Linked DNA regions of Caenorhabditis elegans. The protein of the gene in region 3 interacts with the protein of the main gene of each other region in a pairwise test. Each region holds a gene or a part of one and is shown on either strand. Other genes may lie near its edges.

The links.
Region 1: the proteins of nhr-91 (region 3) and uev-1 interact in a two-hybrid assay, tested with the Caenorhabditis elegans proteins (2 studies listed by BioGRID).
Region 2: the proteins of nhr-91 (region 3) and syd-9 interact in binary tests that used the Caenorhabditis elegans proteins (3 or more experiments, as listed by UniProt).

Annotation. Positions count from the first base shown.
Region 1 is NC_003279.8:14,788,310-14,791,479, reverse strand, and holds uev-1 (Ubiquitin-conjugating enzyme E2 variant 1), read right to left. Parts: upstream 1,237-3,170; 5' UTR 1,210-1,236; coding exon 1,206-1,209; intron 1,148-1,205; coding exon 1,002-1,147; intron 953-1,001; coding exon 683-952; 3' UTR 546-682; downstream 1-545. Other genes in the region: hinf-1 (C2H2-type domain-containing protein), read right to left, coding at 17-422; F39B2.3 (15-oxoprostaglandin 13-reductase), read left to right, coding at 1,998-2,349, 2,433-2,515, 2,711-3,170. UniProt on the Caenorhabditis elegans protein: Involved in protein ubiquitination, but has no ubiquitin ligase activity on its own. The uev-1-ubc-13 heterodimer catalyzes the synthesis of non-canonical poly-ubiquitin chains that are linked through Lys-63.
Region 2 is NC_003284.9:7,216,275-7,221,314, reverse strand, and holds the start of syd-9 (Zinc finger protein syd-9), read right to left. Parts: upstream 3,046-5,040; 5' UTR 2,848-3,045; coding exon 2,710-2,847; intron 1,139-2,709; coding exon 1,088-1,138; intron 972-1,087; exon of another isoform or gene 740-971; intron 343-739; coding exon 216-342; intron 170-215; coding exon 1-169. UniProt on the Caenorhabditis elegans protein: Plays a role in regulating synaptic function, probably by modulation of endocytosis. May be dispensable in muscle for normal locomotion. May be involved in post-transcriptional mRNA processing, in parallel with unc-75.
Region 3 is NC_003284.9:15,307,361-15,315,400, forward strand, and holds nhr-91 (Nuclear hormone receptor family member nhr-91), read left to right. Parts: upstream 1-2,014; 5' UTR 2,015-2,018; coding exon 2,019-2,179; intron 2,180-2,236; coding exon 2,237-2,342; intron 2,343-2,393; coding exon 2,394-2,482; intron 2,483-3,039; exon of another isoform or gene 3,040-3,333; intron 3,334-4,008; exon of another isoform or gene 4,009-4,143; intron 4,144-5,302; coding exon 5,303-5,398; intron 5,399-5,466; coding exon 5,467-5,519; intron 5,520-5,570; coding exon 5,571-5,728; intron 5,729-6,004; coding exon 6,005-6,408; intron 6,409-6,456; coding exon 6,457-6,708; intron 6,709-6,881; exon of another isoform or gene 6,882-6,950; intron 6,951-6,999; coding exon 7,000-7,105; 3' UTR 7,106-7,534; downstream 7,535-8,040. Other genes in the region: glb-28 (Globin domain-containing protein), read right to left, coding at 7,624-7,654, 7,705-7,896, 8,024-8,040. UniProt on the Caenorhabditis elegans protein: Orphan nuclear receptor.

The DNA.
Region 1 (3,170 bases), on a different chromosome or scaffold from region 3:
TCTGAATATTAATTACCTTGTGGATCATCCGACGATCGTTCACACCAAGTCATTGGCAACCAATGATTCATAACTTCTTCGCTAAGCTCTCCGCTCTCAGAATCGTTACTCGACGCTCTGGAAGCTCGAGGAGTGTGAGTAGAAAACCTTGTTGCAGACGAGATCGGTGCAGGTGTACGGAAAGAGTCCACAGAATCCTGACTATCTGAGTCTTGACTATCAATCATATAATGTAAATGTTGTTGTGGCTGGTGCTGATGGTGGTGATGATGATGATGTGGTGGTGCTGTTGGTGCGTACAAATTATGACGGGGATCCGGCTCGGCAATTCCAAACGAATTATAGTACGGAGGATGCTGGCTGGATGGTTGATATTGAATGTCGAAATCGAATTTGACTGGTTTCAAATCGGCATATGACATACTTTAGGATAATTGAATCTGAAAAACATGATTGAAATCTCGAAAGAGACAGTAATTGAGCAGGTAGGTATGAAATGCGTTAAAATTACGCAAAAATGAAGAACAAAAAATAAAAAAATCACATTGAAATTTTAAAATTTTACATGGAAATTGAATGGCGAATAATATAATAATTATAAATAAAGTGTGGGGGAAAAGTTCGAGGGGAAAGCTACTACCGGGGAGAGTAAACTGGGTATACAAAAAATCAATAAAAGAATTTAGAACATGGCGCCCTCTGCCGGTTGCTGCAATTTCAGATTCTCTTTGGCCATCATCATGTTCTTGCGGATATCCTCGAGCACGGTCTTGATCATGTAACTATTGCTCCAGTTGCGAAGTGTTGTCAAATTTCGCTTATCAATCACTCCATTGCTCTGATTGACTCCCACCATGTGAACTTTGGTGGTGAAACGAACGGTTGGTGGCTCTCGCGGATAATTCCCGCCGCACTGGATTTGCAGATTGTAGATTCGCGATTCGTATGGAGTCTGAAAGCAAAAAACTAATAATAAAAAATGATTAATTCCGCTGACTCACTCTCGGTGGACCAATGATGGAAGCAGTCCATCTGGTGAGAGTCATATCGCTGTCATCCTCCAAACCCCACGAAATGTTTCCATCTCCCTTGCCTTTTTGTCCTTCTTCAAGTTCTTCCAGCAGACGGAAATTGCGTGGTACATCGACTGGAAAAGAGAAAAATATGCGAAAATAATCATTTTTGAATTTAGAAAGCGAACTTACCCATTTTGAAAGTGCCCAAGTTGCTGGAACGCTGAAAATTGAAATTATTAACAAAGAAATTTGCTTTAAAATCCGAAAAATCAAGAAAAAATCGATAATTTCGTCGGACAATCCGCCTGCTAGCACGGCTTGACGCTCGTTTGCCGCGCGCTCATTCGATTTGTGTGAGTGCCCAGTGGAGCGCGTTTGCTAAGGCTAACTGTGTAGTCCTCTCGGACAAGATCTGTGAACATTGAAATGAAACACTTGGGTTCAATAAAATCACAAGAAAATGATGACAATTTTGTTTGCGACCGAAAAAAAATTATAAAAATTGAATATTGGTTATCATCGTTTCAATCTTTGTTTTGTATTAAAGGCACAGCTGCTAAAAATTGTTTTTTTTTTTTCAATTTTGCTAAAAGAAAATCAATTTTCTGATTTTTTGTTGAGTTCCCGTGCAAATCAATGTCCTAGCTTTTTAAAATTGTTTTTTGTTATGTAATTCTAATCAAATTTTGTCGAATTTTCAGAGATTTTCTGCTAAAACACTAAAAATAGTCTAAAAGTCGATAATTTGATAAACATTTACTCAAACCTTTTACGGAAAAATGAAACAAAAGTTGCAAAAATATAGTAATTTCGCAATTTTCTGAACGCGTACTTAAAGGTACACGGTTTGATTCGGATTGGTCCCGCCACAAAGTGTTACCATAACATTTTTCTCGCTGCGAGACCCATCCGAATAAATCCGTGCGCCTAATCAGTGCGAGTACGCATTTCATATTACTGATAAGTGCCATTTTTAGAACAATGAGCAAATCGATTTGCAAATCAAGCATGCGCGCAGCTGTAGTCCGACGATTCGGAGCACCTGATGTCATAGAAGCCGTCGAGAGTGATATGCCCAGGCTTGAAAAAAACCAGGTTCTCGTTCGGAATTACGCTGCCGGTGTCAATCCAGTTGACACATATATTCGTGCTGGTCAGTATGGAAAACTACCAAATCTTCCATATGTACCAGGAAAAGATGGAGCCGGATTCGTCGAACTTGTGGGAGAAAGCGTTAAAAATGTGAAAGTCGGCGATCGAGTCTGGTATGGATCAGAAGCGGACAGTACAGCAGAGTATGTTGCGGTGAATCGACCATTCGAGTTGCCGGAAGGTAAAAGAATCATTGCGCAACGGGTTACTGTAGCTAGTTGCCCGCGTGGCGAGACCTAAGATATAGCTAAAATCTCATTTCAGGAGTTTCGTTTGAGGAAGGAGCTTCTCTCGGAGTGCCTTATCTTACCGCTTATCGTGCATTGTTTCATCTTGCTGGTGCAAAGGTTTGACTTTTATTTATTATTAAATGGTTCATAGAGAATATTAAAATTTTGGCAAAAACGTATCAAAATTAGGAGGCAAAATCAATACAAATCAATCTTTACAAAGCCAACTTGACCATCTGTTCCATCTCAAACAAGGGGCGGTCTAAAATACGACCATCTGCTGTTCCCTCCCAAAACTAATTCTCTTCTCAGACTGGCGACGTTATACTTGTACACGGAGCATCTGGTGGAGTGGGAAGTGCACTGATGCAGCTGGCTGCCTGGAGGAACATTGAAGCTGTTGGCACTGCTGGATCTGCTGATGGGATCCGGTTCGTGAAGAGTCTTGGTGCACGGAATGTCTATAATCATTCGGATAAGCAATATGTGTCGAAAATGAAAAATGATTATCCAGGAGGCTTCAACCACATTTTCGAAATGGCTGCTCACACAAATCTGAACACGGACCTCGGATTGCTGGCTCCACGTGGTAGAGTTGCAGTAATTGGAAATCGCGCCGAGACCACGATCAACGCAAGACAACTTATGGTTACAGAAGGAGCTGTTTACGGTGTAGCATTGGGAATGTCTTCCGAGGCTGAGCTCTTGGACTTTGGCATCAACATTGTCTCATTCTTGAAGGAAACCGAGTTTCGTCCACTTATAAACAAAT
Region 2 (5,040 bases), 8.1 Mb from region 3:
GTGATTACGGATGGTGTTGCAGTGGAGGTAGTTGGTGTTGATCCGTTTGTTGTTGGACCATTATCTTTGGTTACTATTTTTGGTGCTTTCTTTACAATAATATCATCTTTTGCTATTGCTTCGTTCTGCTCTTTTTTGTGATGTTTTAATATGTGTTTTGTTAAATTTCCTGGAAAATAATTGTTTTAATTTTATCAATCTAATCAAAAACTAACCTTTTAACCTACTGGATTTGCCACAAAATTTACAGACATAAGGTTTTAATGCTGTATGTACTGATCGATGCTCTGCTAAGTTGGACCGAAACCGAAAAGCTTTCCCGCATGTTTCACATATGAATGCCTGAAATTATTAATTCATAAAAAAGATTATACTTTGCTATGGGTATATGAAACCGGTCTGATCCTAGCTGAATATCTTGTTCGCGGATTATATAAGACATGAAGTCTCAATTTTTAATTTGTATTACAAGTCTATCAAGAACTGTAGTCCTAATCCCTAATCTCTTTCAAATACTTTTACATATGTCACACACAGGCACACATTCAATGACGTCATCCTTTTATCTTGTTCGTTTGATTGTTCTCACAACCAGCTTCTGCTCTTTTTCTATGGTTTTGTGGTTTTGCGATTTCAGATTGGTTTCAAATGAATCAAATCAGAAAAATGTGGGTCTGCGCGTACACACTGCGCACACAGAATCGAAATTGATTGAAAAATTTATTGCGCCCTTCTCTGGTACTCTCTATTGTGCATGCTTTTTCCAATGGGTTTCTACAGCTTTTCGAGTAAACGGAAAGGAAGGGGATAGGCAGCCATAAACAATCAACACTGGTCGGTTTTCATTACCGTCCGGCAGCAGCAGGCTGGGCTCCTTGAAAACGAGGAGGGCATGATGGTTCTAGTGTGTTTGCGTGGAGCACAGAAACGCAACACACGGATGATTAAATTTGCGTGGAATGGCAGCCACACGTTATTTCCCCGCATTTTCGTCTATTTCTGCTCATTCTATACTGACGGTCAAATGAGCATGATATATGGCTTTATTAGACGCGTCTTTCTTATCATCTTGATTTTGTCTACTTACTCGATCCATTCCCACTGGTGCATCGGTTGACTTCAATGAGAGGAGTACAGACTGAAAATGGAAATGGAACGTGAGAAAGAGTAAGCGGCGAAAAAGACAAGATAGTTCAACTGGAAAAAAACTAGGCGGAATATATCGCTAGAGCGGAAAATACCCCGTGCACCGACAAAAAGGAACAAGTAGATGACAGAGCAGCGCGACAAGATGCCGGAGGAGGAGCGAGGGACAAAGTTTCCGATGGCAAAATAGTAAGCAATGTGGGCGAGACGGACGGAAAACGATGCGATTCACCAAAGCATCTGGCCCCTATCTTTCTCCCACAAAACACAAAACTACCATTGAACCATCTGGGTGAAAATGAAAATGCGACTGCGATCAGATTATATATCGGAAGATGCGATGTTGTACAGTAAATGGATGAGATGACATTTTCGCAAAGATCAGGAAAAAGAGTGAACCGGAAAACCCCGCTGGTCCAGAGGTCAGGTGCCTTGCTGCGCTGGTCGTCTTATTTTCGATGAGAGAAAACAGGCAAGTATGTAGGAGAGGAAAATGAGCACACACCTCGTAAACAACTAGGTCCCGCCAATTCTGGAAGCAGTTAGCGGTGCACACCACTACTCTATGATCGAATGTCAACAGAACCACTACAGAAAAATCTAAAAAGCTTAGTGTCTTGCTTATATGTATCTATGTAATATTCTTAAGATTTTATTGTTTTGGTAAAATGTATCGTAATTAAAAATATCTCATTATATCTCATACCGGCTTCTGATGTCTTAGTTCAATCAAGGGGTTCTTCAAAAGTACATTCTTGTGGCAAAGCAGCTGAATAAGATTAGAAAGCGAGATCGAGCATGAGCAAAGGTGTGGTTTCCGTTGTCAAGGTCTACGTCCTAACTATTTCCTTTTTCTGTGCAGTTCACACAAGTGATTAATCTGGTGCACTTTCTGATAGTAGGATCAAAACTAAATGAGCTACCAGTCTACATAATAACATACTTAAAATTCTAATCTTGTCAGATAAACCGTGGATGCAATGAATATTTGAAAGTATAAATCAAATATTTAAAACTTAAGGTCAAAAAAGAGTATAAAACTCAATAAAACACTGAAAGACGGTACTACAGAGTGCATTTGTTAGATTCTTATGATAATATCTTATCTACCAAAGCGAACTATGCGCGCCAACTGCTGCAGTGTAACTGTAGAACTGTCCAATCGCTAACGAAACATACCGCCTGGCCTCTCTACTGGGCGAAATACGGTATGGGTGGGCAACTGTTGTGCAGTATCGTATAGGCTCATAAACTTTTGTGTTGCACAATCGAATGGAATACACAATCGAATGGAATACGACAGATATGGTTTATGGAACAAAATACTCTCTGATCTTCTAATACAATTATAATATGACTCTCGCTACTGGGAAAACTACTCTAACTTGATGTTCTAGAATTGTACTTATATTCATCAAAGTGCGCTGCCTATCTGATGCGAGATTTTCATAATCGAAAAGTTAGCGCACAAAAATAGAAAATGAGCGAATTTGGCCTATTGGATCAGATAGCGACAAATAAGACAATAAAAACACATAAAAATGATGCAAAACTGTGACTCACTTTATCGGTATGAAACATTTGCTGATGTTGTTGCAAGAGTTTTGTACTTGAAAATGACTTCGGACACTGAGGACATGTCAGACTCTCTTCTGTCATCAGAATCGTTGCTTGTACTAGCGGTGATACGCACACAGACATCCAGGATGGTCAACGACTCTGTTTTCTTTAACGTCAGCTTTTCTTCAACCTGTGCCAACGTTGATGTTTTGTGAATAACGATTTAGTGAGTATGATTGGAGTGAAGAGAGGGACCCTGTCCACAAAATAGATGGGTGCCAGGAAAAGGTAAAACGTGCTCCTGGTAGAAGGAGACGATGAAAAGGACGGACGGAGGGGGGAGGAGAGTGCCGACCGATCGGACAGGACGGGCGCACAGAGAGAGGGGTGGGGCTCCGAGCTATTCCTAAGGGGTGGAGCGACAGAAAACGCCGGAGCCGGAGAGAGCTCAACTCGTGGACGTGGAGGGCACGGAGCTCTACAGTGAATAGAAGGGTGACCACGTCTTCTTTTCCAAACAGGGAAGGCGCTCCACGACGACGATGTGGACGATAGAAAACGAAAGACAGGCAGGGGACGTGGAGGCTCCGCCCTATTTTGCATAACGTTCTGGCTTGCTATGGGGTGCCTACTCAGTATCCCGAGACGAGTCTTGAAGCTCTCTCTGATTCATGCGGTCACTCGTCACTTGGCGGTCTGTCTACAGCTAGCTCGTTTCCTAGTCGGAATGGGAGTGTGGAGCGAGTGAATGTGTTGGTCGAGGAGAAGCAGCACCAGAGCTCAAGCCTTTTCCGCCGAGCACACTGTGCCAGCCGGATACGGCACAAAACTATTCATTATTCGGGATATTTCCTACAAATGAACATGGATACAGAACTAGATTTTTGCAAACGGGTTTCATTTTTGTATTTGAAGCTAGCTATCAAAACTAAATCCGTTTAATAAAATTACTTGATTCAATTTTCATGTTTCAGCTTGTCTCACAAACACATTATTACACTCTCAAACTTAATTTAATATAACTAATAAGAAACTATACTCAACAGCGTAAAACATCTGGGCGAAGAAATTGCTTTACAAAAAAACTCATAATATTTCATTTCTAGATTTCACAAGATCTGTCAGTAACAAAACGAAAAGAAAACCGACAAGAAGAGAGGAGGGGGAGTTTTGGCGCGGTAGATGAAGAAAACATGACGATGACAGTTGGCGAAAACAGGCGAGCAGGTAAATTGTACACAGTTGCCGTGCGCCGTAATCACCAAAAAAATCAATGAGCGGATAGAGAGGGAATAGACACAAGATAGTGAGCCTGTGCGGTTGAAAACTGACACCCATTAGAAAACCCGCAAAAACGGAAAGCTGTAACGGACGATACGAAAGATGTTGGAAAAATACAAAAAATCTGACTGGTGTATGTTGCAACATGTGGTTCGTGTTTACGCTTCTCAGTAAACCTGTGAAGAGGTCACCGGCCTTGACTGAACACTCGACCGTACGTACTTTTGTAAAATAATGCCGCTGTTTCAACAAAATTCACAATATAAAACTTTTATTTTTAATACTGAAAAAAATTCCCACCAAAAAAAAGATCAACTGCGTAGTCTATCTCATGACTGTCATGAGCATAGTGCATGCCGCGGCGCTTGTCACTAACCATTTCTGCTTCTACTTTTCATTTCCTTTCTCTTCTCCTCTTTCCACTCCCATTTTCACATTTCCAATTTGGAAACCAAACAGCGGTAAAATAAAACGTGTGCTAAGGGCTTCATCCTGTATGTCAGTTTGTCGTGTCCCTTCTTGCAACACTTATCCATCGCACCGTGTAGGCGGATCTGGACGTGACAAATTGGTGAGACCTGGTGAAGCTAGAAGAAGAAAAATATTCAAAGGGGAATGAAGAGACGAAAGAGCAGGCGAATTGTGGAGACATTCTGAAATACAGATAAACTATGTGTTTATGCTCTCTCTCCACTTTCTTTTTTCACTCGTTTTGCTTCTCTCGCTTGTTAGTCTCTGCTGTCCGGCAAGTCCGACGATAAACATGTTGTGATCTATCAGCTTCACTGATGAATTCACCAAATCTACAATTTGACCAAATAGGAAGTGGTCGATTTCAGTCAGAAAAAGGGATTTAGAAGATATTAATCATGTATTGTTGAAGACTATGTGTCTAATTCAGTGCGAATTGTTTATTTTACGGCATGAATTTACTCTCAAAATTTATCAATTAACATTTTGAAATCCTAGAGGTGGGACAGCGCCAGTGGGTAAATTGTTAAAAACTCAGTTGGCAAAATATCATAGTAAAATCTTTTCAGAATTTTTCAGAAA
Region 3 (8,040 bases):
CTCTCCTACCTATTCGTGCGTTCTCATTCCGTTTCCCTATTCTCTATTATCTTTTTGCTCAACGAGCTAGCTTATACTACTAGGTCGTTCTACAACCTTTCCTCCTAACCACGATAAGATTAGCCACCACGGTTGCTCGTGCTGCACCCTGATTAGTATCCAACACTCTCTGGGCTTTGTAATCACTCATGTGTATAGCAGCGACCCTCTCACCTTTAAATTTGAATTCGTGTGTGCTGCTCATAGAGAGAAAAGACTCATATTCATCCACGTACCCTTTGCTTCATCATCCGCCTATACCCCCCCCCCCCCCCACAGCTTCTCCCTCCCGCTCACCAATCCCTCCTCCTCTTTCCCCATTTTATGTGCACTTTGAAAATAACCTTATGAGATCGTCCAGTGAAAGGAAATGGAGACAAGAAGAGGCGCCGGTGGAAGGCAGGGGCAATAGGAGGAGAGACCTACTGTCACTCTCGTTTGACCGGCAATAGGCCCGATTGAATGTACGCGGTTTTCACGAATTTCAAGGTCTGACCCACAAAATTTCGTTCGCCCTCCATGCATCTTTCACCCAATTTTGCTTTTGCGCCAATATCCGCGCGCTGTCCCCCCCCCCCCCCCTCCCTCCATCCTTCATCCATTCCGGCTTACCATCGTCTCTCTCTCGATTGTTGTGTGAATGTGTGTGTGACCTACCGACCTACAGTTTAACTTTCTCACTTTGTACTTTCTTGAATTATCCTCCTCTCCTCCTCAACCGCCTTGCGTTTCGTTTTTCTTTCTCGCATTTTCATTTTTGTTCGATTAGTATCCTGGTTACTGGATCAGCGATGTAGCAACAATGTGTTACAAGTTTTGAAACTAGCAAACTAGTTGAAAAAGTCTGGTCGATAGCTTATCACTTTTATGATTAACATGTTTCATTTATTTTCTATATCTGTTGCATTTCCGCCATCGTTGAGAATCGCTATTTTTCTAGAAACTAACTCAATAACTGTCAAAATGATGATTACCACGTTTTTTAGGCTCAAACCAAACCGGTATGTACTATTTCGGACAATAGAAAAACTGTATCACTTTGGAATAATTTTTTTTTAAACCTCACTGTATATTCCTTTGTAACAACTATTTGTATACAGCAGATATATAGGTTTGGTTTCAAGATATTAATAATATGATTAGTTTCAATACTATAGGAACATAAGTTTGATAAGCTTTTTCTCTATTTTCAAATTGAGCAAATTCTTGCAAATAACCGTAAAGTATCTTGCAAGTTAAATTGGTAAAATCTGTTTTTCTGTTCATGGAATGTTTAGGAACAATAATTGATTCTTTTTAATTGTAGCAAAACTGATTTGTCAAACAAGTAACTTTTTAATGTTAAAAACTCTATTGTTATTTTTATTCTCATAAACCTACCACTACAGTTTTGTACCTTCTCAACCCACCCGGCAACGGCTCTCAGTACCAGGCGGTGACGTCCAAATGCTGCCATTTGGCTCTCAACGAGCTCCGCCGCCAAATGCGTGACCTTGAAAATTGGTAGACGAACCCCCCCCCCCCCCCTTCCACCGTCCCGTCATTTGAAATGCTCTTTTGCACACTCTGATCTCACTTCGATAAACTCGACCGGCCCTACCATCCGCGCTTTTTGTACACTGCGATTCTGACTCAGAAGTGAGGAAGATTTTGTACCTCTTTCGAACACACAATTTTACTTTTTTTTTGCTTCAAAACAACTATACAATTATTCTGACTTTGTTCGGTCTTGATAATACATTTATTCACACGAGGGAGCTCATTTCCTATCTTCTTTTCCGTTCTGATTACTATACAATCGCTCAAAAACTGGGTAACAAAAATATTATCGCATTTTCACGACATCTACAAGTCTAAACCAATTGTTCTTCTTTGCTCCCCCTCCCATTTACATACCCCATTATACTGTCCCTACCGTATGTTGCCTGCTCCATCTGCATACATTAATGACCTCTGATTAATGAGCCTCTTTCAGTGCGATGGACGTTGCGGACTCGACATCTGAGACGCCACCTGTTTTTGACCATGACAACTTGGCTCTCGCGGCACAGACCAACTTGTTGCAGTTCTACCTGACACATTTGGCATCCACACTGGTGCCGCCAATGAAATTGGATATGAGAGACTCGATGACTCCAAGGTAATTGCATTTTCCTGAAGATGTGGAGAGCTTAGTTTCAAAATTTTAAATTTTCAGCTTCAGTCAAACCGAAAGCCCAAACTCTGAAACCGACGACTCCACTTCTGCAGCAAACAAAGTTCTATTCTCTATTCTTGGAACTCCAACAACAGACAGTACTTCGGTATGCGAACTGAATGAAAATTATTGAAATTATGTAGTAGAACAATTACAGAATGCCGTTTCAAAATCCAGCAGCAAGCTGTGCTCGGTATGTGGTGACAAGTCAACCGGTCTACATTACGGTGCTGCCACCTGTGAAGGGTATGTGCATTTAGATATTAAAAATACGGAGGGGGGGGGGGGAAGTTCATACTTCGAGCAACAACAAAAAACTTTTTTCATGTATTTTGAAATTTACGCAGTTTCTGCTGTTTTCTGACCTCTGTTTTGAATTGTGGTACTTCCAATTAAGACATTGATGTTAATAGGATGCCATATAATACTATTTCAGCACTACATAATTAACCAAATTTTTTGTTTCAAAATATACATCTGGAATTATCTTTCAATCTGTATCTCTGTAATTAATTAATTAGGCAAGTGTTTTTACTGTTTGATGCTTTGAAATAGTGATGCTTTGAAAATTACTCTAATATAAATATCCATGCCGATTTCATAATTTAATTTAGTTTCACTTCACTTTCTTCCCTTTGCTTATATCTTGTTTTCTATCGAAAGTTTTCATATTGTTATTTTTCTTTTCCCGGGTGGTCAGAAATCTGTTCCGCTCGCCCTCTTCCAGGATCAACATAAAAACTGTCTGGAGAGAAGAAGGGGGAGAGCTATTAACGGAATTAGTGATCGGATCGGGAAAGCGAAAGTGGTGGTGGGGGGCACCACACCAGTGAAAGTCCAGTTGTCAGCACCAGTGCGCTACATTTTCATCCGATGCTGGGGAGGGGATGCTGACGCCGTCGCCGCCGTCGTCGTCAACGTAGACACACGTCCGCCTCGGGTGCTGGAGGGGGGGGGGGGCAGTCAGATTTTGCGGCCTTCAGAATCCGCGATGATGGTCAAGGCCTTCAGCATGACACGACGCACCGCCGAACACCCAGTCAGTGAAATGTTGCGAAGGGCGACGGCCGGCCAAATGTGTCACGCACCTCGACCATTCGTTTCTCACTACAGCGCCCTTCTCGCCTCCCGGTTGACCCTCGGTTTGGAAGGAGGTGAAGTCGGTAGTGGAAGTGCACTTTGAATCGGTTTAGACGGTTTTCTCTAGGTCACACGCACCATAAGAACTTGTTTCTTTTTTTTTCAATGTGTTACTATAAAAGTGATACTATCTGAATAAACCCTAAATCATAAACCCTTAAAAAAATATTTTTTTAACTCACAATTTTTCCATTTACAGCATAAACGTTCCCAAAATTATAGGCGCTCATTGTAAATATTTCATCTCAGCTTGCTGTAAATATTTCTATTTGACTGTACTGTTGTAAAGAACTGTGATTTTTAGTTGATGTCCGTCGAAATAATTATCTGAATAAAAAAAAACGCAATTGACCCGCACTTACGATAACAATCAAGCTATTTCACAAAAACGGGAGAGCTGCGAAAGTTCCCCCGAAAGTTCAGAACGGCCTTCCTAAGATAACAATCAGTGTACCACACCGTACTCAAAGTACAGAGGACACTCGGATAACGATCAAAGTAGGTTTCAGTAATCGACAGCTCAGTTAGAGAAAGTTCAAGTAATACATATTAGTCTATATCATTATCAATCGGACATATTGTCTCTCCGGAAAAAAATGTCGGAGGTCGACAAGGTTTTGTTAGGGAATCGCGTCGGACAAGGTCGGTTCAACTGGTGCCATTTGCGTACCTCTTCTCGTCACCTCTACTTTTCGGGGCCGCTCCTCCCCATCTTACTCGCTGCCCCACCTCTCATTTCTGATGACCACGACCCAATTTAAAGTGATTTTTGTCTTTTAAGTTGACCTTTTGCACAGTTTTCGTAGAGTTTTTTAAAATTTTAATTTAGAATATTTTCTATTTTCAAAACTTTTAAGCTGCCTTGCTGTTTCTTAAATTTATTTAGAAATTTAAGTTTTAACACGAAAATAATAAAAAAAACTTATTTTTATTTCTGTATAGGCTCACGTAACTTTTTTTTGTGCTTAAGTTTTAATGCTTATAATTGTGTGGAACGGTTTTACATTTTTAATCGGAATAAAATACCATTTCTAAGCATAAAAAATGCATGGCATAGTTTGTTTTCTAACAGCGGAATGCCTCGAATTTGACTTAAAATTTCAGTCAACCTATAAATCATGCAACCCATAGATAAAAATTTCCTCGGATGCACTTAGTGCCAGAGTGTCTGATTTCGGTTTGATCTACGCAGGTCTACAAAAAATGCGGGAGTTGAGACGCAGAGCAACTGATTTAGCATGGTTAAAAACGTGCTGACGTCACATTTTTTGGGCAAAAATTTCCCGCATTTTTTCTAGATCAAACGGTAATGGGACAACATGGCACCACGTGCGGATAATCTATTGGTTCAGAAAGCCAAAAAGTAGAAACAAAAAAATAGTCCAAAAAATAAAATGCCACATTAGCTAGAAAAATTGCAACACGTTTTTTTTTCAAGACACCAGTAACTTCTCCCCTTTTTTCGTCATACAACTTGAAAAAAGTTATGACAGACGGAAAATGTGGGTAGGTTGCAAGGGCATCTTAAAGAACAAGGTCACTCGAAGACCCCAAAAAGAGACGTCTCTGTTGCTGCCTCTTTTTTTTTTGCGCATTTCACTTTACTATCATTTTAACCCACCACCTTTTCCTCCCCCACATTTTCTTTTCCGCCGTCTTCTGGTTCTTCTAGTCCGCCACTTCTCACGTCGTCTGATTTTGAATTTTTTTTCCCGCCGTCCGTCTCGTTTTCCAAATGTTTCCACTTGTTTTGTTCTGTTGCATTCATTTTTCTCGATTCTGAAATGTCAACAACTGTCATTTGGCCGCTGGTCAATTGATTTGTTCCATATGCTCCACCTGCTCGTAACTTGTTACTTGTAACCTTGAATTTTCAAATTTTGAAACCCAGCTAGTTCAAAATGCTCAACAACTACTGTATTTCAGGTGCAAAGGATTCTTCAAGCGGTCCGTTCAAAACAAAAAAGTATATCACTGCAGTCAAGACAACTGCTGTGAAATTGACAAACAAAATAGAAACAGGTATGTAAATTCGAAAAATTCCATTCAACAAAAAAAAAGTTCACAATAAACCGTAATTGACCTTCCAGGTGTCAATCTTGTCGTTTCCGAAAGTGCATCAGCAAGGGCATGCTAACCGAAGGTTAGTTTTTCGGCACGGAGAATAACCGCAAAATTGTTTGTCTTTTTGTAGCAGTGAGAGAAGATCGCATGCCCGGCGGGAGAAATGGGAACAGTATCTATAGCAACTACAAGCAGAGGAGGAGTATCATTAGGAAAACGAAAGATTATGTGGAGGAGCAGGAGAGAAGGCCGTTTCAGAGCCTTCCAAGTGGGAAAAAGTTAATAAAGGTGAGTGAGCACTTGCAGAGCGATATGTAGTTTTTTGGCAGCCCCCGACACTTTCGGGGTTTCCATACCATGGTGGCTAGTGGCTCGAGACCGGCGGAACCTCGAAAGTGTCGGGGGCTTCCAAACAACTACATATCGCACTGCGTTGCTCAGCCCCAGCTCTAAATGCGGGGCTGGAGCTGAGCCCCTCGCAGCCCTTTAGCAGCCCTAGTGCATTATGAGCCAGTTAAAAATTTGAAACAAATTATTGCCTTATTCGATTTTGCTATTTTACAGGAACTGGTTGAGATGGACTGCCTAGACCGGCTCATCAACCTAAAAGGACTCCGAATTAATCCATCTGCAAACTGCGATATTGCCCCTGCTTGCAAAAGGTTAACCAGAATAGGAGATGAAATTGTGGAGCAACTTGTTGAGTGGACGAAAACCTTGCCGTTTTTCGACGAACTACCCGTAGAAGCACACACCCACCTTTTGACACAACGATGGGCCGAGCTAGTATTACTATCTGCTGGATACTACGCGTGCTCGGTCTTTACTCCGGACTCCCCCGACACAACAGAAATGATAGACGAAACTGACGAGATCTCATTCACAAACCCACAGGTCAACCTTCGGCTACTTCAAAATCGATTATCACTGGTGCTCGGCAAAGAAATTCCATTGGAACACGTGGCGAAGTAGACTATCAAACTTAACTTTATTTATTCTAAATGATAATTTTCCAGAGAAGCCGGTCCGCTTGTCACCCGTTTCACGACCCTCCTCCATTCGTTCTCAAATCTCAAGGTCTCTCCGGAAGCGTACGTCTGTATCAAAGCTATCACTCTTCTTCACCTCTCCGCCGACTCGACACTTGATAGGAGTATCATCGACAAGGTCAACACGCTTCAGGATCACTTTGTCAAAACACTTCAAATTCATCTGCACCAGCCGGGAGAGGACGCGCAGACGACGAGCCTCGCACAGATACTTGACTGGTGAGTTTTTATTAAAAATTGTATCAGAGTTAGAAAAAATGCATGTTTTCAATAAGTTGATGTGCACCTTTGGAAGCCCACCTGACATAATTTTTAATTGCTTATTCATATCCGTAAAATTTGCTAAGTTGGCAAAAGTGAATAGTTTTCCTAATGATACCTGTCCAGTCACTGACTTTGGTTCTCATTCCAAAATAAATTATAGTCGTACATATTCTGATATACGACATTACTTTAAAAGGCTCTAATATTATATAATCATTCCATGATAAAACGTTCGCAATTTTCCAGGCTTCCGGATTTGCGAAACGCTTCGTCAGTGCTGCTTCATTCAAAAATGTTCTACGTCCCATTCCTGCTTTGCAAGAATCCGCGACGTCTAGTGTTCGACGAGTAGTCTTCCCCAATACCCTCAATACAGCTTTATTTCTCGGTTGTGCAATATAATTTAGTTCATTTTTTCCACTTATTATTCGTTTCTTTTTTTTTTGAAATTCCCCTGCCTCTTTCCAATTCTTCCCACGAAACCAAAAAAGTTGACGTTTTTTTTTTCTTCTCTGTCTCTATCAATCAATCTGTTTGATCTATCTATCATAACATAGACGTGTGGTCGGAAACATAATCAAATAGTTTCTATGATTTTGGATCCTACAGTATCATTTTCTACTACTTTTCTTCAAGTTGTGAATTTCTGGAATAATTTGTGTGCAATTCGTGATGTCTTTGTGTTCTCTCCCCATTCTCTGTTCCTATCTCGTTTCTCATTCACCCACTCTCTCAAACAATTTGTAGTGTATTTTTCTACGAAAGAAAAAAATTTATTGGTTTAACATTTTTTTTAAATTTTACAGATTACAGAATCAGAATTGATACATAAACCATATGTTATGTTGTTGAAACTGCTTCATTTCGAAGTCAGTTATTGAACTCGAACGCCGATCTTCCGCTAAAAAATAAAAATTCCGGAATTTTTGATTTGAAAACTCTGAAACTTACGTCAACAGCTGAACGCGAGGAGTTAGCATTGGTGAGTGGTGAGCCAGGCGAGAAGCATGAGCAAGACGGTCTGCTAGAAATGAAGACATCACCATCCATGCCTTCACCGTTTCTTTATGACGACGCCCCGGACCATTCCATTCGGTGGCGGTGGTTAGCAAGCTTTCGCCAAATTTTTCCCAATGTTTTCCACTGAAAATAAAGATCAATGTAAATTAATGTAAATTAATATTAAAAAATTATTTCAAAAAAAAAACCGGAAAAATCATGAAAGAATAAGTACATCTTATCTCACTAATGTGATAATCGTGCAACTCACGTGATCTTAAAGTTCGC